4 linked regions of the Oreochromis niloticus genome follow. The protein of the gene in region 2 interacts with the protein of the main gene of each other region in a pairwise test. Links are inferred from orthologs where the notes say so. Each region holds a gene or a part of one and is shown on either strand. Other genes may lie near its edges. The genes, in order: eif4a2, pih1d2, spred1 and igf2bp3.

The links.
Region 1: the proteins of pih1d2 (region 2) and eif4a2 interact in binary tests that used the Homo sapiens proteins (3 or more experiments, as listed by UniProt). The two-hybrid records come from large-scale screens. The link is inferred for Oreochromis niloticus from reciprocal best matches to the Homo sapiens genes PIH1D2 and EIF4A2.
Region 3: the proteins of pih1d2 (region 2) and spred1 interact in binary tests that used the Homo sapiens proteins (3 or more experiments, as listed by UniProt). The link is inferred for Oreochromis niloticus from reciprocal best matches to the Homo sapiens genes PIH1D2 and SPRED1.
Region 4: the proteins of pih1d2 (region 2) and igf2bp3 interact in a two-hybrid assay, tested with the Homo sapiens proteins (2 studies listed by BioGRID and IntAct). The two-hybrid records come from large-scale screens. The link is inferred for Oreochromis niloticus from reciprocal best matches to the Homo sapiens genes PIH1D2 and IGF2BP3.

Annotation. Positions count from the first base shown.
Region 1 is NC_031982.2:10,206,560-10,213,487, reverse strand, and holds the start of eif4a2 (eukaryotic initiation factor 4A-II), read left to right. Parts: upstream 1-3,909; 5' UTR 3,910-4,034; coding exon 4,035-4,063; intron 4,064-4,915; coding exon 4,916-4,973; intron 4,974-5,071; coding exon 5,072-5,204; intron 5,205-5,251; exon of another isoform or gene 5,252-5,326; intron 5,327-5,457; coding exon 5,458-5,597; intron 5,598-5,808; exon of another isoform or gene 5,809-5,883; intron 5,884-5,989; coding exon 5,990-6,158; intron 6,159-6,235; coding exon 6,236-6,345; intron 6,346-6,382; exon of another isoform or gene 6,383-6,562; intron 6,563-6,645; coding exon 6,646-6,789; intron 6,790-6,854; exon of another isoform or gene 6,855-6,928. Other genes in the region: dcun1d1 (DCN1-like protein 1), read right to left, coding at 831-833; setd9 (SET domain-containing protein 9), read left to right, coding at 1,166-2,044. UniProt on the Homo sapiens protein: ATP-dependent RNA helicase which is a subunit of the eIF4F complex involved in cap recognition and is required for mRNA binding to ribosome.
Region 2 is NC_031979.2:26,671,740-26,679,097, forward strand, and holds the start of pih1d2 (PIH1 domain-containing protein 2), read left to right. Parts: upstream 1-4,343; 5' UTR 4,344-4,608; coding exon 4,609-4,791; intron 4,792-6,400; coding exon 6,401-6,527; intron 6,528-6,599; coding exon 6,600-6,839; intron 6,840-6,989; coding exon 6,990-7,261; intron 7,262-7,358. Other genes in the region: tmprss5 (transmembrane protease serine 5), read left to right, coding at 285-398, 767-908, 1,129-1,242, 1,350-1,393, 1,558-1,720, 1,855-2,039, 2,947-3,045, 3,178-3,320 and 2 more.
Region 3 is NC_031983.2:16,022,464-16,029,422, reverse strand, and holds the start of spred1 (sprouty-related, EVH1 domain-containing protein 1), read left to right. Parts: upstream 1-3,936; 5' UTR 3,937-4,962; coding exon 4,963-4,994; intron 4,995-6,959. UniProt on the Homo sapiens protein: Tyrosine kinase substrate that inhibits growth-factor-mediated activation of MAP kinase. Negatively regulates hematopoiesis of bone marrow.
Region 4 is NC_031985.2:24,856,274-24,864,008, reverse strand, and holds the start of igf2bp3 (insulin-like growth factor 2 mRNA-binding protein 3), read right to left. Parts: upstream 3,013-7,735; 5' UTR 2,419-3,012; coding exon 2,244-2,418; intron 1,529-2,243; exon of another isoform or gene 1,462-1,528; coding exon of another isoform or gene 1,404-1,461; intron 1,289-1,403; coding exon 1,228-1,288; intron 1-1,227. UniProt on the Homo sapiens protein: RNA-binding factor that may recruit target transcripts to cytoplasmic protein-RNA complexes (mRNPs). This transcript 'caging' into mRNPs allows mRNA transport and transient storage.

The sequences.
Region 1 (6,928 bases), on a different chromosome or scaffold from region 2:
GAGAAACTTTATATTTTGCTTATAGGCAATGCAAATAGGCCAGGTGAATAAAGACCTGATGTCTCTGCAAAGATTAATTTATAAAGTTGAATTAACAGGGATGTAGCACAATGCAAATGTAAAAGAAGTGCACTGCTGATTTAACTTTGTGTTAAGTTTTGGTACAGCGTTTTTGTTCTTTCTCTGAGGCGCACTAAATTCAGGTGACTAAGGAGGACCTAATTTATTTTGATACAAAAGTTGTGTCCACGCGAAGATATGAAGGCGGTGTCTGTATGTGGCACTGCAATAAAAACAATTCTGTAATTGAAAAAATGATAAATAATCGTTATCTCAGTACTGAACGAAATAATCGTGCCGCTCTTCAATAACCACAAAGGGAAGGCTAGCTGTTAGCTACAGTGAACTCTGGCGAAACACATCTAAATCACAGTAAGAGGGAACTAGCAGCGACATGCTATGCTGATTGGAGTCACCGACTTCCAGAGTACTGACTGGCGGTTTCTTAGTCTTAATATCAGTACTACTGATAAAGTTACGCATTCCACACGATAACGATCTAAAAGTTGTGTCATTTTGTGTGTTTAAATGATAGCAATCGTAGTTAGCTCACTGTGCTTGTTGGTTAGCCCCACTGTGAGCTACTTAGCTAACGCTAAAGGAGAGGGGGCTGTTTGTTTTCATTATTTCAGGCGAATTTAAGGTATTAAAAGCAGTTTTAAGACTATGATATGAATCCGAAGAGATGTGTTTTTATACGTTTATGCGAATGGCTACATGTTATATTTGCCACTTCAAACAAGAATAAAAAAAAAAGAGTAATTTCGTACCATGTTTGTCACTGCCGGGCTACTCTTCCTCCCATCCAGCTGGCTTACTGCCCGTAAAGTTTTTACAAGTCGCGTAAAAAGTTTTTCCGGTGGAATCACAGCTCTTCAAAATAAGAGCATACAATTTATAGCATATAACCTATACAACTTCCCAAATTGTTAATTATCGATTTCTTTTGTTCCTTATCAAACATACAACACATATCTAAAGAAATGTAAGCAAAACAAATTTAAAGTTCGCTCTACGTTTTGAAATAGCAACAAGTGTTTTTTTTTATTTTGAAACAAGCTATCGGAAACGACTCGACGATTCATCCAAAGAACCTCGTTCTTCAATGTCCGACATACAAACAAGTCTCTGGATGTTTACAGTTGTTCTGCGAAGATTTCAGAACAAATGGAAGTCCTACCGACACAGGTTTGTGCCTTGGGTAGTCTTCAACCTGTCTAAAAATGAGAAAACACTGCGGAATGTGACTGAGCGCTCGAAAGACAAGCTAGTCCCCGATGAGGAGGTTTCGCGGAGCCTGCTGACGCTCTTCAGAGCCCTGTTCAGGAGTCATGGGTTTCATCAGAGGCAGTTCCAGACTCCGTTTATGCCGCAGCTAACAAGTGAAGCAGAGCAGGTTGGAGGAGATCCGGTGTGCGGACAGGATGCCATGTTACAGACACTGGGATTCTGCATTGAGCGGAAACCTAGCACTTTACCATTCGCAGGAAGCGGAGTCTTTGTCACCAAGGGATTTGTACCCAAAGGAGCAACAGTTGCAATGTATCCCGGCACTGTTTACCAACCCTATGAGCCCATTCTCCTTCAGTCTATCAGAAACCCCTTTGTATTCAGATGCATTGATGGCATCCTGGTTGATGGAAATGACAAAGGCATCTCTAGGATGGTGTTCAAGTCGTGCAGTGGAAGAGACAGAATAGGTCCTTTCTTGACCAGCGACACAAGCTGGCTGACAGACACTCCCCAAAACCCCCTGGCTGTGGGTCAGTATGTGAACAACTGCTCTGACGAGAGGCCTGCCAACGTGTGCTACCAGGAGTACGACGTGCCAGACAAGTTTCCCATTGAGCTCCACCAGTATCTCCCTAACGTCAACTACAGCCAGGGTACACAGAGGCGTCTGCGGTGTGTTGTGCTAGTGTCTCTCAGGGACATTTCAGCAGGGGAGGAACTCTTCTCTAACTACTACACCATTGTGCATTAATATAGTTTCCGAAAGCCTGCATTGGTGACATTCAAACATATCTCCACTTTATTTAATTAAAGGAAAAAAAAAAGGAAAAATCAAACCGCTCCCTTTGGAAAAAAGGCAAAGCTTTTTTTTGTTGTACGATGTATTGTGTTGTTGGCTGTTTTAACTGAGCAACTGTGGATGAATAAAGTATTTGTAATCTTATTTGATGTGTGTACCACAACCTTTTCATGGTTGTTAAGACAGTAATTTCATTTGATATTAAGTATATGAATTATGGTAGCCTACTTACTCATGGTTTTTGTAGTTATAGCAGAAAAGAAAGAATGAAGTGTCCCTCTTATTGGCCGAGGCAAAAATCATCACAAGGTCATGTTTAAGAGTGGTGCGCTGATACTGCTGGATGGTCCATAGAGTTGCTCAAATGTTTTAGCTGAAAGCTTTAACTGTTAACTGTCCATGGAGTTTAAATAATTAAAATATTTCCTATTGAAATGCACTGAAATAGAGCATAGAGATAACAGAACTACTTGTGCAATCCAATTTCAATTCAGTTTTATTTACATAGTGCTAAATCCCAAAAACAGTAAGGTTAAAACTCTACAGTCATAGAGAGAAAATCCCAACAATCACAGAAGAGGGGGGCTGAAAGCTGAAGGCTCTGCCTCCTATTCTACTTTTAAATATTCTAGGAACCACAAGACTGAGAGCAAAGTGCTCTGTTAGGGTGATATGAGGTCTTTAAGATAAGATTGGACCTGATTATTCAATATCTTGTATGTGAGGAGAGGGATATTAAGTGTGAGTCTACATTTAACAGGTAGCCAAAGCTAATATGGGAGAAATATGCTCTTTCTTTTTTGTATCAATACAAACACGACTACCTGAGATCAGAGAAAAGCTGCCCATTAAAACAGCTTTGCTGTAGGGGAAGGCTTAAATATACAGAATCTAGATTTGTTTTTTAAAGTAAACAGGGATATTATATCCAGTCACATGAGTGTGCTTCATAATTGATTATTATTGTGATGCTTCTCTCATACTTAGAGAATAATCTTCTGAATATGTATAATAATAATCTCATAATAATCTAGTTAACTCTGCTCTGGTCTAAACCAGAGTAGAGTCCAAAGTCTTCCAAGTAAATCAGGAACTTCTCCAAGAAGGTGAAACTGGTAAAGTAGAGAGATGACACAGGGAGAAATGCGTTGTGTTAGCTCAGCTAAACTGGGTACTTTATCAAAGTCCTGAGAAGCAAATCTCACCACTCTGACTCAGTGGATACTAACTTAAGCATTATCTAACTTAACTTTCATCTCAAAGGTCACCAGGAGATAAAAATTGCATGTATGGAATCTCCAGTCAAATCTGATTTTTTTTTAAATTAAGGTTTGTTAACTTTTACCCCCAAATAAGTACAACCATCTTTGCTGTCGCTATTCTCCAATATGCTTTTTCACAAGTCTTTAACTCTACACAAAACTGATCAGTATGGAACAGTGTGTCAAAGACACAGAAACTGCAGCATTGTCCCTTTTTGTCTCTATGCCAATTAAAAGTTGTTTAATAATCACACTGGGACAGCAAAGCCTCGGTTAGCTCTATGTGGTATTACACTTCATTTTATTTCTTGAACCCCGCCTGCATGGGCCTTACGCAAACCTTCTCTCCAAAAATGTTGCACAACCTTTTCAGAGCGAGTTTTGACCTATTAGAGACACGGTAGTGAGCCCGAGCACCCACTATTACTGCAATATCCTTCCGCCGAGGAATATAGTCTGGAACAATTTTAATGTTTTATTGTTTATCTAAAGACACATTTGAACACAACAAGTACTGTGTTAAATAAAAGGTGATTCAAACATTAAGTCAGTCAACTAATACTTTATTATCAGTCAAACTGGGTACTGAGTTTGTCGGTGAAAATAGTCCGGCTCCATAAATGCAGTTGTATTCTCGAGCAGCGATCTTTCCACTCGCATGCTGAAGTTGGGAACGGATCATGTCTAGCGATTCTGCTGATTACAACAGGTAACAGGAGACATTTGGTCGTGTTTTTTCAAAACGACACTGGATAGTTATCTGCGCTTAACCTTGCGAAAGTAGTTTGCAGTTGGTGTTATACAAACTTAGTTATTAAGTAGTTAACTAGGCCCTAACCGCTGTTGAGGTGATCTGTTGCTAACTGTTAGCTATGTGACGCTAGCCGCTCCGTTACACACCGTAGTTCCAAACTGCTGTTAAAAGCATTCTGGTTTAAATGTTTAATATTTGGCCATGTCTAACGTAAAGCACGCCGGGACTTTGTAGTGATAAGTAAAACTCATTTTTACGGTCGTAGCTGGGGATTACCCAAATTGAGAGCCGTCGGACCAGGCTGTATGTAGGCCTCAGTAGAAGGCACCGTTGGCAGTACAGGCCCAACTGGCCGACATATTGGCTAATGGTGAGCGAAGCAGAGCTCCATGTTGAGGTACATCCAGCGTGTACAGATGTAATTTTAATCTCGAGGACCACAGTGGGTGTGAGGAGCCAGCCTCAAACCTTTACAGGTTACGTAAGCGGCCATTTTATTAAGGACTTGCAGTTGAGCCCGGCTCGTGCAATTTGACACGTGCGCTCAGTGAACCTCCAGACTGTGAAACTACATCCCCGGGGCGTTACCCAGACTACGATTGACTATCTCACTACATATCTAACGTAATTTCTGTGTTTTAGTTTCTCACCGTGAGCGCGAAATAGGCGGTCTTATTGTTGGAGATGAGTGGGCAGCATACCTTCATATTAAGTGACGCCTCGAAGAAACTATCGCTGTAGCATGCGTTCAGTTTAATTTTTAAGGGCACATTTTATGTGAAAATTGAAGTGTCTCATTTTCAACAGCTCAAGAGATAGAGACCATGGGGGGCCAGATGGAATGGAGCCTGATGGTGTCATCGAGGTAAGTACTAAGGCGAAATATAAACTGGCGCTATATTTTTGGCTGTAAATTGATCAGTAAAGTACTAACTCATCCATGTGCTGTTTTCCCCAATTCAGAGCAACTGGAATGAGATTACGGACAACTTTGACGATATGAACCTGAAGGAGACTCTTCTCAGGGGCATATACGCATATGGTTTTGAAAAACCATCTGCCATTCAACAGAGGGCCATCATCCCTTGCATCAAAGGTACAGATACCTTTCTTTTTAAACTCAGAATAGGATTGTAGATGTTTGAGTGAAATGATGGTCTACCATCTTTCGGGACTTACCCAAGACATGGGGATAACTTTGTTTCATGCTGATCACTCAATACTGTGAAATGGTTACTTGATGAGTTAAATCTTGCAAAGGATGACTTTTGTTGTTTAGCCTGTCTGCATGTTTCTGTTTTGAGAAACAAATATATGGACTTAAAATAATTTTTTCCCCTTACTGTCAGGCTATGATGTCATTGCTCAAGCCCAGTCTGGAACTGGCAAGACAGCCACATTTGCCATCTCTATCTTGCAGCAGTTGGATATTGAGCAGAAGGAGACTCAGGCTCTGGTTTTGGCTCCCACTAGAGAGCTGGCTCAGCAGGTATGCTGTTCCTGAGGTCACCATAAACCTCAGCAGTACCTCAGACCTAAGCAGCGTACTGAGGACACTAATTCAGATCATAAGGTACAATCTTTTAAAGATTTGTTCAAATTCCAAAAGATTTGACGAGTATCTTCAGCTAATGTAGTCTCTGTCCGTGGCTACATTGGTCTGAAAGGTGAAATGCTTTCGAATTTTTCTGTGAAAAACTGAGTGATGTGATGGCATACCATCTTTCGGGACTGACTCTTGAAATGGAGAGTTTCTTTTACTCTACTGATCACTTTAAACAGTTTTTCTGCAGTCTGGAGTTTGCAAGTCTTGCCTGGTTCTCTGTGCCACATTATCTTAAACACGTTCTTCTTTCCCTCTGTCCCATCTCCCCCTCTTAGATCCAGAAGGTAATTCTGGCTTTGGGTGACTACATGGGGGCAACCTGCCATGCCTGCATTGGAGGGACCAATCTCCGTAGTGAAATACAGAAGCTCCAGGCCGAGGCCCCTCACATAGTGGTGGGCACACCCGGACGTGTGTACGACATGCTGAACAGGAAACACCTGTGTAAGTATTACAGGTCCTGCTTACTGGAAGCTTGGGTTGGTGATATGTTTGCTAACAAACATGACATTTCTCTGCAGCTCCAAAATGGATCAAGATGTTTGTTCTGGATGAAGCCGATGAGATGTTGAGTCGCGGGTTCAAGGATCAGATCTATGAGATCTTCCAGAAACTGAGCACAAACATTCAAGTAAGAGACTGACGCACACCAGAGAACAAATAAGATGCCCTTCCGCATCAACAGAGGTCTGCTATAATTGTGTGATCCAGATTTTCTGTTTCATGCAATGATGCTAGCAGATTTTTACGTGGAAGGAGATTATTGTGCACTTGACTGAAAATGAGATGTGGTCGAACCTCTTTCTTAATGTTCGTTGGCTGCAATCTCAAGGTGAAGTGCCACAATTGGCATTGGCCTCTAATACGCTGTACCAAATTTTACGCAGATTTTTGGGAGGTGGTGGTGTAACATGTAATGCTGCTTCTTCAGGTGGTCCTGCTCTCAGCCACCATGCCAGCAGATGTGTTGGAGGTGACTAAGAAGTTCATGCGAGATCCTGTTCGCATCTTGGTGAAGAAAGAAGAGCTTACCCTTGAGGGTATCAAGCAGTTCTACATTAATGTGGAGCGAGAGGTTGGTAACATTTCTGCACATTACGGTTTTAGGATAATCCTGTACCACTGTGAATGTTTTAATTTCCCTTCTCTCTAAAGCACCCTGCTAAAACTGCAGGAGCCAAGCCTCACAGGTTTAGCTCATGTGGCCGTGTAAG
Region 2 (7,358 bases):
ACTGCATTGAAGTTTCCCAAATTTGATGGAAACACGCGACAACATTCAAGTTAAGATAGAGAAAATTTTGAAAAATGAATCTGTTTTTTAATTAGCTGTTTTCTAATTAGCTGGATTTGCAGATAGAAATGAACAATATTTAATGACATTTTATTGCTGTCTCAGACGCTGGTCCGTTTTGGGTTCTCATTCAGATAATCTGGTAATATTAGGAAAAATCAACAACGTTTTGCTGCCCATTTTGCAGCCTGATTAAAAGATTATCTCTTTTAATCCACTTTTAGTCAAACTTTTGCTGAGGCCATCGTCCTCCCAAAGCCCAGTGGGGCTTGGGGATACAAAGGAGACATCCTTCTGCAATGTGACGGAGGATATTTCCGCATCGGACTCGCGGAAAGGTCTGTGTTTACTCCCTCGTGGTAGCGTTTCTTTCACTGTTTTATGAATTATAATGCAGCACGTTAATGCGTGGCTGCTTAGCTTATTGTATATACTTCATTATATCAGGTCATGGGTCACCTCTGAAGTGTTTCTTAATTGAATAGTAACAAAAATTAAAATTCAGCAGCTGCTACTTGTTGTCTTCTCTTCACTCCTGAGAGATGCCCATTGACCGACATGAAAACATCACACATAATGATCTGTTTCTACTGACTACATTAGCATAGATACTTGTGTTTTTCCTAATCATTTCCCACTCATAGAAGAGGCTTGATCATTAACGTTGACTGAGAGCTTGTCTCTGGAGGGATTTTCAATCAATCAGGTTCAGTGTTTTACAGAATCAGTCCTGAGAACTCCCTCCTGGAGATCCAGCTGGGGAAGCTGCCCACCTGGCTTCCAGTATGCTATGAGAGGTGGAACTCTTCGCTGGGAACACTGGTCTGCAGACAGCTGGGTTATCTGAGGTGATGCTTTTTCGCAGTCCTGCGAGGATCACACACTGCTTCTTTATAGCACCATTTAAAAAAGCTGAGAGCCCATTCTCAAACTTGGTTTAATTTTAGGCTGAAGGCTCACCTTATTTATGATCTATTAATACCTCATTTATAATCTTGCTTCACACCTCATGAGACTAAATTATCTCAATACTCGCTCCCACCCATTTTTCAAATGTTCCCTTACCAGACTGACCAAGCATAAAGGAGTGAACCTTACTGATATCGGGCCAAACTACACTGACGGCTTCATACAAATTACCTCAGAACAAAAGAGCAGCCTGGAAAATATGTGGCAGTTCAGGTAAGGCAATCTGTCAGAGGACATCACACTCATAATGGTGCAGGGAAAATTGCGTCCGCTAATACATTAATTATGCATCATTAGTTACCCAATTTATTTTCATTTAGGAGGAGTTGTATCACAGGGAAGGTTATCGCTTTGCAGTGTTTTGGTGAGCAAATTAAACTTAACTTTTAATTTGAGTTTGCGCCTCGCACAGAGGCCAGTAGTGTTTTTGTACAAAAGCTTTATATCAGAGCAGGATGAATGATGGCGTCTGCTGCTGCTCTTTCTGACCAACCCAATTTCGTTTCGTTTTGATGAATGGATCTTTAGAGTGTGGCACACGAGCAAAGCTACCCAGGATAATCGGGGGCGTGGAGGCCGCGCTGGGCAGGTGGCCCTGGCAGGTCAGCCTTTACTACAGCAACCGTCACACCTGCGGAGGCTCCATCATCACCAGTCAATGGGTAGTCACAGCTGCCCACTGTGTACACAAGTAAGACTGCTGACCTGACAAGTACTAAAGGTCAGAGGTTGCAGCCACGATGAAGGATAATAATCAGTCATTAACAGCTGTACCAGTGTAGCAGTATCAGTATCTACTCTCTCTTTTCTTTTCCCAAATGTCAGCTACAGGCTACCTCAGATATCCAGCTGGGTGGTCTATGCTGGCATTGTGACCCGCAGCTCTGCTAAAACGGCTCAGCATGCAGGCTACGCGGTGGAGAAGATCATCTACAACAAGAACTACAACCACAGGACCCACGACAGCGATATAGCACTGATGAAGCTGCGGACCCCGTTCAATTTCTCAGGTCAGTCTCATCGCAGCACTTAAAAAAAAAAAAAAAAAAAAAGTACTTTGGCTTCAGTTTACCTTTTCATATGCTAATAACAATTTATCATAAACAATATAAGTGCTATTGCTATGCTAATTTTTCTAATCATAACAAGTGATATACACTTCAAATGAAAAGGCTCCCAATATCTTTAACATCTCACAGAATCAGCTGTTAAGATTCACACATAAGCTTACAGTCTCAGCAACAATTAAAGCACCGCCTCCAGATGTTTTGAGACGTTGAAATTTATTCTCCTTCCTGGCTCCTGAGGGATCTTTGGGTCTGTCTTTGTAATTTTGTTTCTTCTTTACCTCACAACATAAGGAGCCTTGAAATGACTATTGTTTTGAATTCACATAAATAAAAATGAACCGAATTACAGATGTAGCTTCCAAAGGACAGAATACATGAATATGCAAATACTGTACAGTGTAAAAAAAACAAAACACAAAAAACCAGGCCATCATATAGAATCCAATGAGAGAGACACAGGGCTATTTTTGTACACAATGCATTTTATGTAGATTCGGTTATATTTAAGTTATTCTGTGAGTTTGTATGGCTGCTACCTTTTTGTTTGCTCTGATCTCAGTGGGAGACAACTTTCTTTATGTTGTATACAGGACCACAGTTGGCTTCTCTATCATAAAAGCTTCCTTGTTTTTCAGCTGTGATTTGATATGAGCGTAGAGACTAAAGAGAAAACAGCTTTCTCATGACAAACACTGAAGTCTAAACGTGGTAAAACACGTCTCAGTGAAGGGTGGTTTTATAACACTTCTTAACATGACTTATGAATCCAACCATATTTGCAGTACAACTTAATGTCTCTTGTAACTATTTAAATGTATTAAGAGGCAAAATTCCTCCTTTTAACTAGACACAATCAGGCCCATCTGCCTGCCTCAGTACGACTATGCCCTTCCAGGAGGAACACAGTGCTGGATTTCTGGATGGGGATACACGCAACCCGACGGGGGTAAGATGTTACTACACTGCTCTGCTCTTAAACAAATGCATCTCTGCTACAAATCTAATCCATACTCAAATGGTGACAGAGTGAGCCAAGTGTGTTAGTGGAGCAGTCCTAAATTGAAACTTTCACCCGTAGTTCATTCACCCGACACCCTGAAAGAGGCGCCAGTCCCAATAATAAGCACAAAGAAATGTAACAGCTCCTGCATGTACAATGGAGAGATCACAGCACGGATGCTATGTGCCGGCTACACAGAGGGAAAAGTGGACGCATGTCAGGTCAGAGGCTTGTTTTGACCACTAGATTTAGCTTCTCTTTTATGAGTAGCTGTAGTGAGCAGTGTTTGGGCCTACCTCTCCAGGGGGACAGTGGGGGCCCTCTGGTTTGCCAGGATGACAACGTATGGAGGCTGGTGGGGGTCGTCAGCTGGGGAACAGGGTGTGCTGAGCCCAATCATCCTGGAGTTTACACCAAAGTGGCCAAATTCTTGGGATGGATCTACGAGATGATAGAGGTAAACAGCATTTTTTAATTCTACAGTGAACAATAACTAACTATTTACAGGACAGCACAGAGGTTTAGTATCATTCGATACTTCTTTATTGAGCTCGATAGTTAAAAAATACACGCAAAACACATGATCAGCTTAATTATAATTTCATTATATATATATATTTTTAAAAAGTTAGCTCCACTTTTGCCAGTTTTAAAACATTATGTTGAGAGAAATGCATCAAAGTAAGCCTGTGAAATAGGTCATTTGTTTTTGTAGAAGTACCCTGCTGATAACAACTCTTTGAACGGAGGATATTTACATATCATGGAATACTTTTTTACAGGGATAATACTTTTACTTATCTAAAATATTACAATAAATTCTTATATCACTACACTGCAGAAAGCGCTAATTAGTTTCATCCATGCCGCTATTTGAATTTTTTCTTTTTTTGTATTTTCAGCCGGATTGAGATGGAAACTGTAAAACAGAACAGCGATTTCTAATATTAATTCTTTCCTTATTTTTGCAGAATTACTGAGGAGGGCTCATGACAACAAAAGGAAGGAAGCTTCTGATGAAACTGGTGGAAACGTTAGAAAACTACAGTTATACATGATACTTTTTATTTTACGTGTCAGTTATATAATGTACACATAAAGACAGACTGAAAACATCAACATGCATTTTTACGTTATGTTTTTCATGTATTGAAAATAAATTATGCTTCTTATTGTCATGTGTGGTTTCTGAGCCGCAGTTCCGCATCTCACCGCCTGGTGGCAACAGTGTTACGTTTCATATAGTTTCTATGGCAACTGACAACATTGGCCTAGCTAGTGTTAGCGATTACAACTAATGAGCTACAGAACGTAATTAGTTGTTTTGTTTTGTTTTGGTTTGGTTTTTTTAAATATTTGTGTGATACTGCTCCATATTTGTCGGATATTTAAGGTGTTTCTATAACACATGCTCCTCTATGACACTGCTGACCGGCTGGTTTTCTGACGCACAAACTTTTTCTGCTAACTAGCTAGAGTTGGTAATAAAAGTACGACAGTTACCTTAACATGTGCTCCACTGGCAGTACAGAGGATGTTTTGCAGCAGATGAGCAAACTGTGGTCCATGCTGGATGATCTCTCTGAAAATGACCCTGCAGCCTACCGTACGCTTATAGAGAAACAGTTGAAGGAAGGAGCTGAATTCAGAGCACCGCCCGAGCTGGACTCCTGCCTCTGCACTGAAATACTGGTGAGTTTCATTCGTGAAGGCTCCTTCCTGTGTAGGCCCCACTCCATACAGGTGTTACTCAGCACATTCTTTGGTTCAGCTAGAAAGGAAGCCCACCTTTATTCCTCCAAAACATAAATAAATATATACTCTAAATTCAAACACAAATTAGGGAAAGTTAACTTTAATAGCAGAAAATTTAGGATACAGCTCAGTACCCATCATCAAAAAAATTTTTTTTTTTTTAAATGATTCAGTGTCTCAGGTCCTGTCATTGGTACAAGGAATTACATTACAGAAGAATTTGGATTGGGAACAGCACTTACTCTGCAAAAGGCTCACCCAAGTAATGCAGGCATCTGATGGTGGAGGAGAGGGACTGCCAGGAATCGACTCAATGTGCAACAGCAGTCCTCTAACCTTAACAAGGCTGCTGAATGATGTGGGAAGGCATAAAACGAAGAAAAATCAAATGTAGTGAGCTATGGAATATGAAAACAAAACAGCCCACATATGATGTTCTGCTCACTCCAGCAGTGTGTCCCTTGTATGCAACCCTCAAACACATCCGGGTGGGCTGCAAAAGCAGTCTAACACATGGAGGATATAGTTGGTGACATAACCAACTAACTTGTCTGTAGCTATTAGTCAGGAGAGTATAGACTAACTGCAACTCATTAGAAGTTAAAGCCACCTTTCTGCAACAAACAACCTTCATCTGGGAAGGTGAGAAACAGCATGTCAAGCCCTATCTTCCTGAAATATACCTTTACACTTGAAATCAACCTGCACCCAGGTCTGGTTCTCTGGTCCAGTTCCTGCCAGTCTGTCTTCACTGTAGAACTGATTGTCCCTTGGGAGGATGCAATCAATAAGGCATATGACAAGAAGAAAGCATGAGCAAGCTGAGAGAGAGGACCAAGGCTGGAAAGTGGAGGTCCATTCAGTGGAAGTGGGCTGTAGGGGCTTCGCAGCCAGCTCCACAGTAAGACTGACGAAGGAAGTAGGCATCAGGAAGGGCAGCCTAATACAAGTTAATCAAAAAGCTTGCCACTGTTGCCAAAAGAAAGTAGTCACAGGGGCTGGCTGAAGCAGAAGGAGACAGTGTGGCCTGCCAAATTACTGGTGGGTGCCATGTGAAATACACCCAGGTCTGATCAGCCTGTGGTGGGTCTGCTTTGGCTAAGGGCATCTTGTGAGAAATTATGGAAATGCACTATGAAGCTGGGGTACAAAGCTGATGATGTGTCGCGCTGATGGATACATACCCATATGGTCAGCAGCAAACACCCCATCTAGATGGCTTCTCCAACCCACTCAGTTCTGTGTTATACTGACAGGGATTATAACTTCTAGCCCTATTAATTAGTATAGTCCATTACAAGCTGTGAAAGCTTTGTCATCACATTTCTTGTTTTTATCCAACCAAGAGTAAAGTAATAACCTAAAAATATTTCTGCTGAGGAGCTGTAAGCTGTGCTTGCTTTATATATCCTAAAATACACAGGCTGCATGAGAAACACAGACTTTTACTTCACTCTGCAAAGATGCTAGACTTTTATCCACTTAGAACTTTGAAATTGAGTTTGTTTTGACAGATCCTTTTGATAGCACTGTGTTTCTGTGACAGAAACCAAAGAAAGGCCTGCTGTACATCAACATATGCAGCTGGAAATGTGTGCCTGCGCCTCAGGATCCCAGCAGGCTTTTACCAGTGTACACTGGAAAACTGGAAACAGGCACAAATGAAGATCAAGGTGTGTCAAGCTGCAGACCTGCCATTTGTATTACATGACACAAGCAAGAAAGTCATACTTTTTCCTTTACAGGCTGGTATACTGTGCTGGATGTGGCATTAAATCCTGTGTTGCTGCAGGAAAGTAGGGAGAACAAAGCAGAGATTAACCAGGTCTATATGCTGGCCCTGAGCTTTGCCCAGAAGCAGCTTGGGATGACGTTATCGCAGGAGTACAGAGTTGTCAACAGTAGCCCAAATAGTAGCCCAGATGAGTTGCACCGCCGGCTTGGATTTCAGAAGTTGTCCAGTGCCCCCAAACAACCCGACACAGGTAATGCAATAAGTCTGTCAACCCTGACAAGCTTTGATAAGCACTTTATGTTGAACCCGTGCTCTTTACCCACTCTCCTTTCACCTCCTAAAACAATTTTCCTGATAATCCATAGTCCTTTTTTTTTTTTTTTTTTTTTTTTTTTTACAGCTGGTCAGACACCAGCTGCCCTCCTGCAGCACATCTCCTCCCTACAATCAGAAAACCAAGAGGACTCTGCTCCTCAAATTATCTGTAGGCCTGCAGAGAAAATAAAGAAGGATTTGATCCAGGTCATCTCAGCCGCTTCTGTGGGGCCTCAGAAGCCAGAGTATCGACTCGAGGTGAAGACTGATGCAGCAGGAGTTCCTGACAGCGTGGAACTGATGGTGGAGCTGCCAATGGTTTGCTCCATGTCAGAGTGCCAGCTGAGCGTGTCCAAGGTTAGTGGTTACACACTCCCTTGAACAGTTATAACGAAGCACTTTAGAATCCAGTGTGTGTCAGTGTGTAGCTGGATGTCATAAGAAATACATAATC
Region 3 (6,959 bases), on a different chromosome or scaffold from region 2:
AATTTTTGCTTACATCGAATTATCACATTCTTTTCACATTACAAGATACATCAGACGCTTCAAGTAAATAAAGATTCATGCTGCAGAGTCACTGAAAAATAAAGGAACATGACTTAACGCCAGTCACATCAGACTGCGGTATTTTAAATCATTTCACTCATCAGCTTAGATCTGATGAATGAGGATTGTATCGGGCTAAAAATATCATCCATTCGGTGGTTCCTTGTTGGCAATGCAGGAATGTTATATCTCCCTTGAAGAATATTGTGATGAGTTTGATTGCATTTAGTGAATAAAGTCAAGGAGGGATGCTTCTATCAGCTAAACTTCCTGTTGGCTGGTTTAAATATGCTACGTTGTGTGGTATGTTCAGTGTGAAAAACACAGGAAATGGACTAGGGTCATCCACATTTGTGAGATGAGAAAGAAGGCTGACTTCCTGAACTCTAAATACTCTAAAGGATAAAGGCATGCTAGTAGGAAAAATAAATCATGTTCATTGTTCTTTTCTGCTCTTTTTGAATCAAGGGACACTTCGTTTGGACCTGATCATGGTAACTTAATCAGAAATAAGTGAAGAGGCCATGTTAAATAAAACAAAGATGCAGTATCCTAACCTGATTACCCCGTTTATAATACAGACTGCTTGTATAAACATTCATGTCAGCTTGAAATCATTATTTTTTTGAGAAAACAATCCCAAGAGAGCTTTTGCTCTCAGGCAGTCTGTTTTGGATTCATGGTCATTTTTATACATAAAATCCTTCATTTTCAGAGGCTCACTGGACAATTGACTGACAAGCAGTTTCGTGACAAAGAGAAGCCTATTCCACAAATTAGGCAGATAAAAGAGTTGATTCCGAATTTTGAACTAGAATTTCATAGCTTTTCACATGACATTTTATATGAGGTTCAAAGACATGCCCATGCAAGTGAATGAGGCCAACACAAGGCGTAAAAACGACAAAATAAACCAACTGGAGAGATAGCAAAAACGTTGGGAGTAATCAGATTGATAATTGGAACAATATGTAAAAGAATACATTGGCCAATAGACCTGGAAGATCACAGAATTCATTTCTAGGTTAAGAGAAACCTCTTCAAAACATCTACAAAAGTTAAGCAACCTCAAGAATGTGCCACATAGTCTAAAATCAAAAGGAGTCTTCATGGATGTAAGTAGGTTTATAACAAGGTGCAAACCACTTGTTGGTTACACTCAAGAACAGCACAGCCAAATTAGACTTTGATAGAAAACGTTTAAACAAGACTGCCCAGCTCTGATGCAACCAAAATTAACTTCTGCCAGAATGATGGTGAAAAAATGAAATAGCTCATGAAGTTTGTCACGTCATCTATCAAACATGGCGGAGGCAATGTTATACCATGGACATGTATGGCTGCTCACTGAATCTGATTAGTAGTGTTTATTGACGATATGACTGCTGAAAGAAGTAGAAGGAAGAACTCTGAAGTGTATAGGGGTATACTCTGATCAGGCGGTATTTCATGGTATAAATAGATAATGACCCAAAACATGCTGCAAAAGCAGTCTTTCCAGGCAAAGAAATGGGATATTCCTTAGTGGCCAAGTCAGTCACCTGATCTCAGCCCAATAGGGCATAATTTTAGTTACTGAAGACAAAACTGAAGGTGGCTGCATTAAAAGCCTGGCAGAACATCTCAAGGGAAGAAACACAGGATTTGATGTCCGTGGGTTCTACAGTCTAATTCTACAGGATTTCAATTCAAGTATTAAAAACAATCCTTGTATCCCAGGTTCTCTTTACTTCTTCCCACAGTTCAATGAGATACATGGATTAGATTAACGGGTAAATCTAAATTAGACATAGTTAACTATTCATGTGAACATGAATACTTAACTGTCTCTCTGGTGTTAGCCTTGTCAAATATTACACGCTCCCAAATTGGATAAGCAGAAGAAAGTAGATGAATGGATGGATATTTAAATTTTTGTCAGCTAGTCCAATGACTTTTAGGCCTTTTAAACCAATCAGCTAAGTGAAGAGAAACGATAGTCCGGAAAATTGCAAAAACTTTAAATTTGTCCCCCAAGTGCAGTCGCAAAAACCATTGCTATGACAAAACTGGCTCACATGAGGACCGCCCCAGGAAAGGAAGCCCGAGTGTCACCACTGCTGCTGAGGATAAATTCATTCGAGTCACCAGCCTCAGAAATTGCCAATTAACAGTACCTCTGATTAGAGCCCAGATAAATGCCACACGGAGTTCCAGTAGCAGACACATCTTTACATCAACTGTTCAGAGGAACAGTTAAACCCATTCTCCCACTGGGTTTAAATCTGGGACTCTCGGCCATTTGACCTTAGAACTGAAGAAGCTTCTTGGATGAGAGGTGAAACGTCTTCAAGCAACTTAAAGAAGTCCAGACGCTTTTCTTTGCAAACTCCTTTGACTACGATGACCTGGATGACTGAGAACCTTCACAGACATGTTCAGAGGAGACTGCGCAAATCAGGCCTTAATGGTCAAATAGCTGCTAAAAAACCACTACTAAGGAAAAGCAACGAGCAGAAGAGATTTGTTTGGGCCAAGAAACACAAGGAATGGACATTAGACCAGTGGAAATCTGTGCTTTGGGCTGATAAGTCCAAATTTGAGATCTTTGGTTCTACCTGCCGTGCCTTTGTGTGACGCAGAAAAGGTGAACGGATGATCTCTACATGCATGGTTCCCACCGTGAAGCATGGAGGAGGAGGTGTGATCGGGATTTATTCAAAATGAAGGCATACTGAACCAGCACGGCTACCACAGCATCCTGCAGTGGGATGGACCGCAGAATGAACGCAAAAGGGCCAACAAATACTCAGCATCTCTGGGAACTCCTTCAAGACTGTTGGAAAACCATTTCAGGTGACGACCTCATGTAGCTCATCAAAAGAATGCCAAGATTGTCCAAAGCAGTAATCAAAGCAAAGGGTGGCTATTTTGACAAATCTAAAACAAAATTTGAGTTATTTCAATTTTTTTGGTTTACTACATAATTCCATATGCGTTCATTCATAGTCTGGATGTCTTCAGTGAGAATCTACAAAGTAAACAGTCATGAAAATAAAGAAAAACCATTAAATGAGAAGGTGCGTCCAAACTTTTGACTGGTAGTGTATGTACAGTGACACAGAGGGACGTTTCATATGGCCCTCAGCATAATACTGTAGCACAAGCTGTATGAAAGCCAGAGAAATACAAAGAAACTTCTCACACAACATGTTGTCACTATGACAACCAGGCAGAATCATTTAGCCTGATCTCTTGCCTTTTCCACACAGCACAGAAATCCAATAGCATTTAAGTCTTATGCAACCAGGCTGCCGATTTGCTCTGAAAGGCTTTTAACACATTTGCAACTAAGATTCATAGAAGCACACATGGATTTTTCTGGCAACTTCTTAGACTGTTTTATTCTGGAGGGAGCTTTAGCTGCCTGGTACAGTTTTAGAAGCACGACTTTGAGCCACATGCAGTTGTTTTAGTCCCCTACTCTCTAGTGATCACCCCTTTTTGTAGCTTATAGTGTAATCCTAATGCCTGTATTTTATTTACATTTACGGCCAATTACAGTTCTCAAAAATCCCACACCATGCCCTACTCAGATTTTTGTTTCTACATTCCAGAGAAAAAAAAAATCCTCATTTTCTGAATTGCCGCTTTACAGTCTTTCACTTTTCACTCTGCTATCACTGAATAATAAATAACCCTGGCCTACGCTCAGCGATAGAAATACCATCTTGATTTGAAACACATAAATCGTGAAGAGGGTCTGATATAATTCCACGTGCTGCAGCACTCTCGGTTGTGTACATTTGCAGCACTTCCCCACTATTTTGCATTAGGATTTTAAAAGCGGTTCGGAGGGGAGGTAGATCACGATAATACAACTGAAAAAAGAATATACCAGAAATTGTTAATGACCAAGTCTCCGTGTCAGCTCAGGTCCTTCCTCTAGATTATTTTCTAGCCTACTTTGCGTGCTATCACACAGACGCTTCCCTCTTGTTTCAATGCGTGATTGAAGGGAAACTTCTTTTGGGAAGTGGGGGGACTACTTTAGGTCAACTTTAGAAAGAAATCTTACTAACTTATTGCATACGCTTACGGGGGAACGCGGTTTAGTATAATATACGCTACTCTTTAAGCATACAGAGCAAAGTGTGTGCTGGGTTGGTATTTTTTCTATCACAAGTGTTATGTTTTTACTACGTCGCGGAAGGATCCTTTTTTCAAGCGAGGGTCGACATATCCGCCCATTTTTCCGATGTTTCATTCCCCCCCGAGTTGAAAATGGAGTTCGATTAAAGCAGATGTCCATCAAGTTCTCAAGGAAATTTCAAGTCTATGTGTTTTTACTTTAACTGTCGGTGCTAATACTGAAAACAGTCGGACCATTTTGGGGGGCATTGGATGCCTTTACTGAAAATTACTCGGACACGTTGACGGAGCAACGCTGCACAGCTCTTTTTCAAGTGTTGTCCTGGACCTGAAGTTGGCGAATGGATGCTCGACAGCCAGCCATAAATAACCTGCCAAACGATACAACCTACAACGGTTTCTACATTTTTTGAGGATCTATGCACATTTTTGCAAGCCGGGGATTTGTGTCAGTTGAAGAGGATGGTCCAGATGGCCCATTTGTTGTGGTCGGATTTTACTTCCAGGGAGGATAAAATGAATCAACGATTGTCATTCCTCCTCGCGATTTAACGTTAGAGCCCAGCCAGCAAAAGCTAACGTCCAGCTAGCTTCACTTGCTTTTCATAGGGACGCTGAGTTAGGCATGCCCCTTGTACGCCGTTTATTTACTATCCGAAATAGGGGTTATTTCTGTATGTGAAGGAAAATGGTGATATATGTGGTATTTTATCCCGCCGTCACTGCGTCGTCGATGCTATTGCTAGGATTTGGATCCCCGTGAGGAAAAAAATGAGTGAAGATTCAACAAATCCAAACAACGAGTGAGTCCTGTTTTACACACACTTTATTTTAATATTATTATTATTATTTTATCATTTACATCCAAACACACAGCTAATCTTCAATATGTGCTTATATATGTAGATATTAACACACCGAGCATCGAGCTACGTTAGTTCCCGGTGACATTTCTAACCGAGCAACGTTGCCATTTCATCGTCTTGTTTTACTAATATCAACAATAAGAAACACGTTGTACTTTCCCCCCCTGTTTGTTTGTTTATCAAGCTAATAGAAAGGATTGCCTTGTGAGATTAAACAGAACCGTGCCGGGGAAACGGTGGCATCGATCCGTAGTAAAATATTAATCTCGTTGCTACTTTTTTGTAGGCTTATGATACTGCTAACCAGTATATGCTGTGAGAATTCACATTAAAGCCACAACATTTGAGGTGTACTAATCTTTGCTTATTTTGCTTGCTTGGTGTATTATTATATGTTCGGGAAATGTATTAATTCACGAAGGATCGTTCGGAGCAGACGCATAGGTGACAGTAATCTAAATATAATTTTATGTGAGTGCTTGCTCGGTACATCACGATCAGAGTCCTCTGCATTGACAGCCCCGATCTGTGTCTAACTGCTGTCCGCCATGATTTCGGAACATAATCATCGATTAAAATATTGCGGATTGTGTTTGTCTTTAAGTCTAGCCTTTCTTTAATGAAGGCTCTTCGCGGTTAATGCGGCAATGTCGGCATTGAAAAGCCGAAGATGCCATTTTTTTTTCTCAATCATGCTCATTTACATATCACAATCCTCCATTCATAAAAACGCTTAAAAAACGGCATCGCATTCACGCCCAGAGCCTCACAACCTACGGACATCGATTATGATCTGTGCATGCTGTGTTTTTGTACACGTCGCGCCCATTTCAGCTCGCATTTTGGTATTGTTTTAATGGGCTGATCCCTTGTGTGCGCTTGTTGACAGTCAGTGAGAAATATCTGCTTCGGGAGGTGCTGCGGTCACATGATCCCCTCCATTCATAAAGTACCTGCCTGCCCATTCACAGCACTGTACACTGTTTCGCATTGCACCGACGGTCACACAGTGATCACATATTCTGCATTCGCGGTACAATACGTCGCATATAGGCGCCTGTGCTCGTTTTTCTAGTCGTTTATTTTACATGTTTTTTCTTAACCATGTCGACGTGATTTTTCTTTCACAATTCATTTGTCACAGAGGAAGTCATATGCCCTTTTCAGCCATTTACAGTGTCACTGTTTAATGTCTGAAACACACCCATGTTTTTTTTTGTTGTTGTTGTTGTTGTTGTTTTGTTTCCCCCATTCAATCTTTCTGGCCTTTGTGAGGCTGATTGATTTAATGCATGGAGGTTTTGTCCTTGAACTACACTGTTTTGTTTTTATGTAACATATGTCATGGATTTATTTATTTTTCCTCATGTCAAAGCACAGGAGCTCACATATGAATTCATCCCAGGCTATATTTGCTATAAACCTTGATTCAGCTTGAATTGTGTGAATTGGTGAAACCTCCTCATCTCCTAAATTTGATGCGACTCCCTTCAATAATCTCGGGAACTCATCCACACCCCAGATCCCCAATTTTTGAGAACTACTGCCACAGGCTAAAAAATAAAAATCCTCAGTTCCACACAGCATGATGGCAGCAGCTAAAATGGCGAAGTGATCCAAACATTGTTGCTAAGATTTCACCACCTTTCCTCTTGTATGATTCATAGTAATGGAGTGAACGGAATACTGAGCGCTGCCTGAGCCATTTATTTTTGCTGAAAAGCGTCTGTTTAATGAAATATTTTTCATGAGACATCTATTGACTAAATTAAAAAAAAAAAGATTTGGTGTGCCACATTTTTTAAGAGTCAAGGATAATCATTCCCCCCCCCCCCCCCCCCCCCAATAGTAGTCTTCACCATATTACATTGTGAAATTGAGCCACTTTCCACTGATAAATTA
Region 4 (7,735 bases), on a different chromosome or scaffold from region 2:
TTTAAGTACACCTGGTTTATTTAACCAAGCTACAATTTAGACCAACAGCCCACCAGGAAATGCTTCTATGATGTCCACGTGGAAAATACATTTCATGTAAAGGTCTCGCGAATTCTGCGTTTGCTCCATTTTATAACCAAAATGCTTTTTTAAATACATACAAGTTACGGGGAGCAGTTTTTTTTTTTTTTTTTTTTTAATGCCTACGTGTTCCAGCAGGACTTTGTGATTTCAAGTGTGACCCATTTCTTTACATAAGAGCAGATCACAGTTAAACGTTGAGAACAAACAATGCAAACCTGCAATACTAGTCAGAAATTGCCGCAACCATCATCAAGCAAAAGCAATTTAATTCAAGAAAATGCTTATTTTTCACCAAACAGCATCGCCACCAAATAATATAAAAATACGCACACCATGTCAAAAATCGCCCCTATGTTTAAGTCCACTGCACATATTCCGAGGACCACACAAAAAAATATATTGTGCACCTTTGGAAATCATACACCGAACCGCCCAGTGTGTCTACGGGCGTCTAACTCTGAAACCAAGGGTTTTCGTGACTTGGGTCCCAAACCTCCCATTCCACTCGCGTTTGGAGTCCATCTCATGCAACAGCAGCACAATGTGCTGAAGAGGGCGGAAGCGCAGGGCAAGCAAGGGAGAATGACGGGCAGATCCTTCTCAAATGGACGACTTCACAAGGCCTGTACGCCTCAAATCCAGCCTGCACTCACTCAGCACACATTTCAGCCTGCACACTCGGGGCTTTAGTACTCGCCCTGAGCTTTGCGCTTTAATATCGCCAAGAACTGCACGTATACACTAAAAAACACAAGAGTGAATGGAGCAAGCGAGGAGAAGACAGCCATGAGATGGTTTAACTCAAATGCACGACGGTTTTGGGAGCACTCCCTCAGTCATGGCGAGAGGAAGGAATAGACCGCCATACGCCCCTTTTATTTGACCCCAAAGAGCATTCAGGGAAAAAATAAGGGGGGGAAAATGATGGGCGTACGTATTTTAACTAAAATAAATATGTAACGCTTGGCAACAAACACACATGCAGCATTATTAAAACACACTCTCTCGCGCACACACACACACACACACACGAGGTCAAAGTAAAAAAAAAAAAAGACGAGGAAGAGAGGGTGACTGATTTAAAAATATATGTGGGGCTTCTACGAGTTTAACCAAGCACTATTTAATAAAAAACCCACGTACCTTTGACGTTTAGGGACCGAGTGCTCCACTTCAAGAACTTTTCCGTGAAGTTCAACTTTACCTTAAAAAGAAAAGAGAAATTTAGATTATCAAAACACAGCAACGTTAATTTCATTAACCACATGACCTCTCGTGTAGGCCTGCATACTGCTGAGAAAACAGGAGTTAATGTTTACCACTAAAAATCCAGAGAAGCACACATAGGCATGACTGCGAGCTGGATATTTCTCGCATAGGAGCACAAATTGTTCAAAGTGTGTGAGCCACTGGTAGCACGAGGACAAATGAGCCTGACATTAGCACTATTCGTAAAATAGTGAACGAGTTTAGCTCAGCTGTTACGTGTTCTGTAGGTGCATGCTTAACTTGAAATTAGACAACAAGCCGTGAAGGGTTGGGGTGATTAATGTACAAAAAAGGCTAAATGTGGTGTGCCTGCCTGAGTTAGTTGGCCTACATTTGGCCAACACAATTAAACCACCTGGTGTGTCAGCATGGACGAAATGGCTTCACAGTGTAGCGAGTGGAGGCTGTTGGAGAAGGCCTGTATTTTGAAACCTGGAGAAGAGTGCAAGTTCCAGTAGAAACTGGTGAAAGCGGCGACACATTACTCTTCAATCGTGCCAAGCTGGGGCTGTGTGATAGAGCTCACAATAAGGGTTCACTTCACGGCTTCCACAGCCCCGCTCGCTGCCCTGAACGGCACATAACGTGCATTGCTTACACTGAGGATTGTGTTTACTCTAGCATTTTACCAAGCTACACTCAGTCAAATTACAAGGGCAGAATTTAACTCAAACCTGGGGGAAGCCATTTGTGTGAGCCCCACGGTGTCAAAAGGCCAAGTAAAGGTTGTGTGAGAGAAAGAAACGCTTGGATACACCCCCACCCTACAGGACTACATGCATTTCTCATAGGGTCCCCCCCCCCACCACCAGAAGTAAGGCAATCTTCACACAATTGCAGCAGTTTGGGAGAATTTCCTAATGGCACCTTTTTGCCCCAGATTATCTCACCTGAAAGAACATCGATGGCCTTCATTGCTGCCTTCTCGTCCGGGCAATCCACAAACGCATAGCCAGTTTTGACAAGAAATGGACCACTGTGCGGAATCTTCCACTGCTCAAAGATAGTTTCGAAGTCCTCCTCGCTCGCCTCTGCGCTTACGTTGCCAATGTATAGCTTATTCATGTTCTGCGCCGAAAGGGACAATCTTTACGCTGAGGGAGAGATAGTTATTTGCTCTCGCGGATGTGCAGTGTTTGGAGTAGCCTAAATCGCCTTTACTACTACGGAGTGGCTGTGGCGTGCTTCCCGGTCGTTCAAGCCACAGATAGATTTAAACTGGCAGCCTCACAGTGCGTTTGCGCTCCCTCGCCCCTCTGTCTCTATCGCGCAATAAATAAATGCTCAATTATTAATCTCGTGTCTCCGAACGATGGCGGGCTGGGTGAAAAGGAGGAGAAACTACTTTGTGTCTTCCTCCAAACCCCTTGGCAAAGAGACAGAGAATGTCACACACGGTAAGGCTGGCGCCCGCCTCTAAGTCTAGAGCCTAGAATAAGAAGAAGAAGAAGGGGGGAGAGAAAAAAAAAATCCTCAGCTATTCCGGCTTTTTTGAATGAGCCACGTGTTCAAACTACAAATCAGCCCACACGTGAGGAATCCCAATTGCTCAATTAAGTGTTTGGGATTGGGGAAAATTGCACGGGAATCTGGGGTGGGGACAGCAAAGGGGAGTGAAGAAAAAAAGGAGGGGAAGAGTGGATTGGTGTTGGGAAAAAACCTGGCGAGCTTTGTGCGTAAAGGGATTCCGTGAGAAACTAGTGTATCTTTACTAGAATCACACTCGTGTGCCTTTCTCTGCACAGCCTCGACTCTCATTGGTCGAATGAGGAATAGTAAAAACGGCGGTGCGCGCACGCACGCCCATAGCAGGGAGACGCTGATATTGCGGGGGCTTGTGCGCACGGCTGTGCTAAGTGCGCTGCATTGGCGACATAGCGGATGGAAAAGGGGGTGGGGACACTCATAAATGATTTTTTTTTTGACACCATATTGTTAAATTGCATATAGAGCGCATTCAGTTGTACGTATTTTGAGTGGGGAGTGGGGAAAGGTCCTGTGAAACTCCTTGGGCCCTCACGCATTGTGGGAATGACACGTAGGCTACTACTCTCCATGACGGTATCCATCTTCTGCAAAGAGTGGAGTCATGCCCTCTCTGATCCACAACTCAAAGTCCAACAGCAGGCCCCATTTGCTCTTGGTCACGTCGAGAGGGTATCTTTGGGCGAAATGAGTGCTGCCACGCCATTTGTTTTGTCGTCTTTTGGGCTGTTTGGCACAACTACGAAGCGTTGGCCATGTGGAGCGAATCACACATGGCGAATCCTCTCTGCTATACCCCAGCATGGATTTGAATTTACTGAAAGAGGGAGGGGTCTCCCACACCAATGTGCCCCTAGCGTACTATGTAAAGCAAAGCCCAGTTCAATCACGTGTGGAATACGTGTCTTAAAACATTACACAACTGTCTGTAAGATCTTTTGTAAACCATAGGCAGAGGTCGACAGTTTACGAACGGGTCGCTCCACAGGTCATTTCTGCATACACAGGACTAATTGGCAGATTAATCAATGCCTGGCGATGTCAATAAGATGATATATTGTCAGGGCACAAAGTTTCAAAACACTAATGATCCCCCAAAGCGTAAATTTATAAGCACATGTACAGTCAAGTACCACAATAAATTCTGCCTTTGTGCAGGCTATAGTTTGCAGTGTTCCTGAACGTTACTGCAATATACGGAGAGCATAATTCAGCCGCAGTGGCTGCCAAAATGACCATAAAATTGAATCCGTGCCCCTTTAAAGCAGTTTGAGAGAAGAGCTAGTAGAAAACTTTTAGCATTCATTTTATAGCATTAGTTTCAGATTTATGCACCAAACAAGCTGGCACCCAAATGCATCTGTCTGCATTATAATGTTAAAGTTCAGCTTTAAACCCAGCACCTTTAAAGCGAGGCTTAAACTTCATCACGTGTTCAGGAGACGTGACACAGTATACTTTAGATATGTGCTGCATGGATCTATTTTCTTTTCAGGATCGTGTGTGGGGATACAGGAGGGCACGCTTTCATTCATAAAATTGTGTTAGATGAATCGGCGTGACGGGTTAGTTAGAAGTAGCCAGAGAGCAACAATGTCAACTACAAAAAAGTTACATAATAGCAGTAACTTTCATCTCATTCTCCTTTAAATGCATGGTTTTTTTTAATCTTATTCTTTTATTTTAACTCATTGTAAGCCCATGTTTGACTTGTGGCCATCTTGTTTTGAAAAGTATTTTAAGAAAGAGTTAGAAACGTGAGTGGGTGTAGTCGTCTCTGCAGCCCTGCAAGTGGCATTACAAAAAAGAAGGGAACAAAAGCTTTTCTCTGGAGCTGAGGTGATAGCACCGTGTCTCTGAAGCGTCTGCTAATGAACAGGCCAAGGTGTGCGTGTTCATGTAAAGCAGGTTACAAAGGGAGTGTTGGCCCTTCAGCCACTGGCTCACAGACCGGGGCCATTGCTGTCTCGGTGGGTCTACTCCTCTGCTGCTGAACAAACACACCGAGCTGTCTGATTGGTCGAGAAGGCTGTCCAATCGGAGAGCCGCAAACCTGCTCCGTACTACTCCTGCTGGCTCGGCCTCAACGCGCTCATTCATTGGCTCCCCGGCTCGACTATTCTATATGAATCAGCGCGCCAATCATGCATTTCTCCCCATGTTTGCCCAGTTTGGCTTTTGTCATGGCTTGAAGCATGAAGATGTAACGAAACACGCCAGTGATTAAATCCGAAGCGCTTTGCGTTTAAAAAAATACCCTCTTTAAAACTTTCCGAGAACTTTATGTTGTATTTGGATTTATAGGGCAACCCTTAAATAGGTTAAGTGATAAAGGCGTGAAATAGGGTTTAAAATTCAACTTTAGAGCAACTTTCTATCGACTTTTAATCGTTTCATAATTTGTTACAAGACCTGCTCCCCGAAAAGTTTCTTATTAACTTATTAGTGAGTGCTTAGATCTCTGTAGTCTTTCTCCTGTATGGATCTATATGAGGGTTATTTAAAACCAGGGCGCTTTCCGTCGGCCTAGTTAAGCTCATACAATTTTTTAAAACCCCGTTTATTAGTCGTTAACCATTTCCACTCCTCGTGAAATAACGAAACGCACACGGATGGGGCTCTGTGTGAATGCCAGCTCTGCCAGCTGGGCAGTGTCTCCGAGCTGGTAGTCTCACAGGCTGAACGTATAGAGACAGCAGTCATGTTAAGTTGCTCTCCAGTCTCTGTCGGTTTAAATGAGCCGATGCATGGCTGCAGCCCGCGTGTGTGTGTGTGTCTGTGTGTGTGTGTGTGGCTGCAGGCTCTGCAAGAGGAGTAGTGAATGTATCGCTGAGGAATGTACAGAAAGTCTCCCCGCCCCCAGCTTCAGGGCTCCTCGCTATGGACAAATTCCATAGGGGGCAAAACTGACATAAAGTTTCAGACTAGACTGCATCCTATGTGGGAAGATTTTCTGCGGTTAATGTCGGTGTAGGAAAAGAACTGACAAAATCGATCTGTTTAAACATAGTCTAGGATATTTCTAGAGGGAAAGTCAAGGAGGGAAAGAAGGGAGGGAGATTGTTTAGGTTTTTTTTTTTAAAGAGAGAGCTTATAGCCCAACTTTGAGCTGCTGGCCTCGCTCCAAGATATAGTCTACGTCGCCAAGCGCAAGGCTCTTTCACAATCCTATTTAGGCTACAGAGAATCAAGGATTCTGTTTTCCGGTGAGATTGCTTTATTATGTTTTTATTTATTTATTTATTTGTTGCGAGGCGATTCGCATCTTTAACAACATTGTCGTTCCACGTGAGTTTTAACCATTTAATCCAGTTGCTGACCGCTTCGGACAAGAGTCAGGGAAGACTGTGGTGAACGCCATGTTGAGAAGAATCTAGAGCCTTACAGTATCATTAACTAAAAGCAAACAATGTCCTTAACGACGTTAATGCAACTGCGTTTTTATTTTTTTCATTTTTCTGCTCCATACATGTGTTTTCTATTGTCATCAAGTGCTTTCATGCAGGCTCCAAAAAACCCTTAAAAAAGGGCATGTTTATTCCACAGATTCTGCTTTGAGATGACACCCTTCATCTCATTAGAAAATGGCGGTTTGTGCCCCCCTAAAGCACATGCCAAGGAATATTTCTTGTAGCAGTTAAATGGGGATAGCCATAGCCTGCTGGCAAAATAGCAAATATTCCAGATAATATCTCTGTTATGTTTTTTTAAAAAGACGAATAATCCCAGTAAAGAATCTGCCCTAGCTTTTTTCTCGCTTTCTCGTCTTATACACCCTTTTCACCCCCCAGACACAACTTAAATCCTGGGAATTTGTGTGGAAAAGTTTCTTCTTCCTATGCCATCAGTAGATGATAGGACTGCTTATATATGCTGATGTTTTAAATGAAATAATCATCCCTTTGTTTTTTTTTTGCTGGAAAAGGAGGGGAGGTTTAAAAAGCAACCAAACGTAGCTGCCGTCACACGATTGTTTGGTTTCAGTTGGCAGCAACTGTTCCTTTATTAATTTATCTATTTTTGTAATTAAAATATTTACCAAGTAGCTGATCATTTGGTTATATTCTGAGCTTAGTGAACACCCCACAAAGCATGGCGTCTGTAGCAGCTGTAATTACAAATTCTTATTTCTTCTTCTTTTTTTCCTCTCTTTTTAAAAATTTAACACCCAATTAACAAAAATGCACTTTGACGTCATAAACATTTGTTGAGTTTTGTGTTTTATGTTATCTGGAGCTGACTGCATTTTTTTTTTGGTCTATTGTTGTGGAGCCTTTGTGTAGGTTAGCAGCACATGTTGATGAAGGATGAAAAGTTTTCACGCAGAGTCACATGAACATTTGCAGACTTTGGTATACATTGCAGCTATACTGAACGGCCATGCTTTAGCATGTGGCTTTGTCTCTCTTATAGGAAACCTTCCCCTCTGGCAGCTGTTGTTTACTGGTTTCAGCACCTTGATTGATTAGTTACAGTGTGATACGTGTTGAGAAAAATTCCTCCCTTAACGCCAACCCCCCCAAAAAGCAATCAATTTCTTCAATGACTTGTTTTCTGAAAGAAGATGGAAACATGATTTGCTGTTCTTTGGAGTTTTAACACTTTGCAATTTTGCACTGGGTTTGTGTTTGTTGTGCGAGAAAGTGCGTGATTTGCTGAATCTTAAGCAGAGTCAGTTGTCCGTTTCCTCTGATTAGAAATGCAGGTGTGATTTAAAAGCATGTGGATATTGAATATTTAAAATAAAGTGCTGTGATGATCATCTGTGACTTTGAATATTTTTGTTCATTAATTTAAGTGTTTAAAAAAACACAAATAGTTTATGGACATTTTCTTCAACCATCTAGCTTTTAAATGTTAAAGATAATAATTAACGTTTTAATTAGTGCGTGGATTG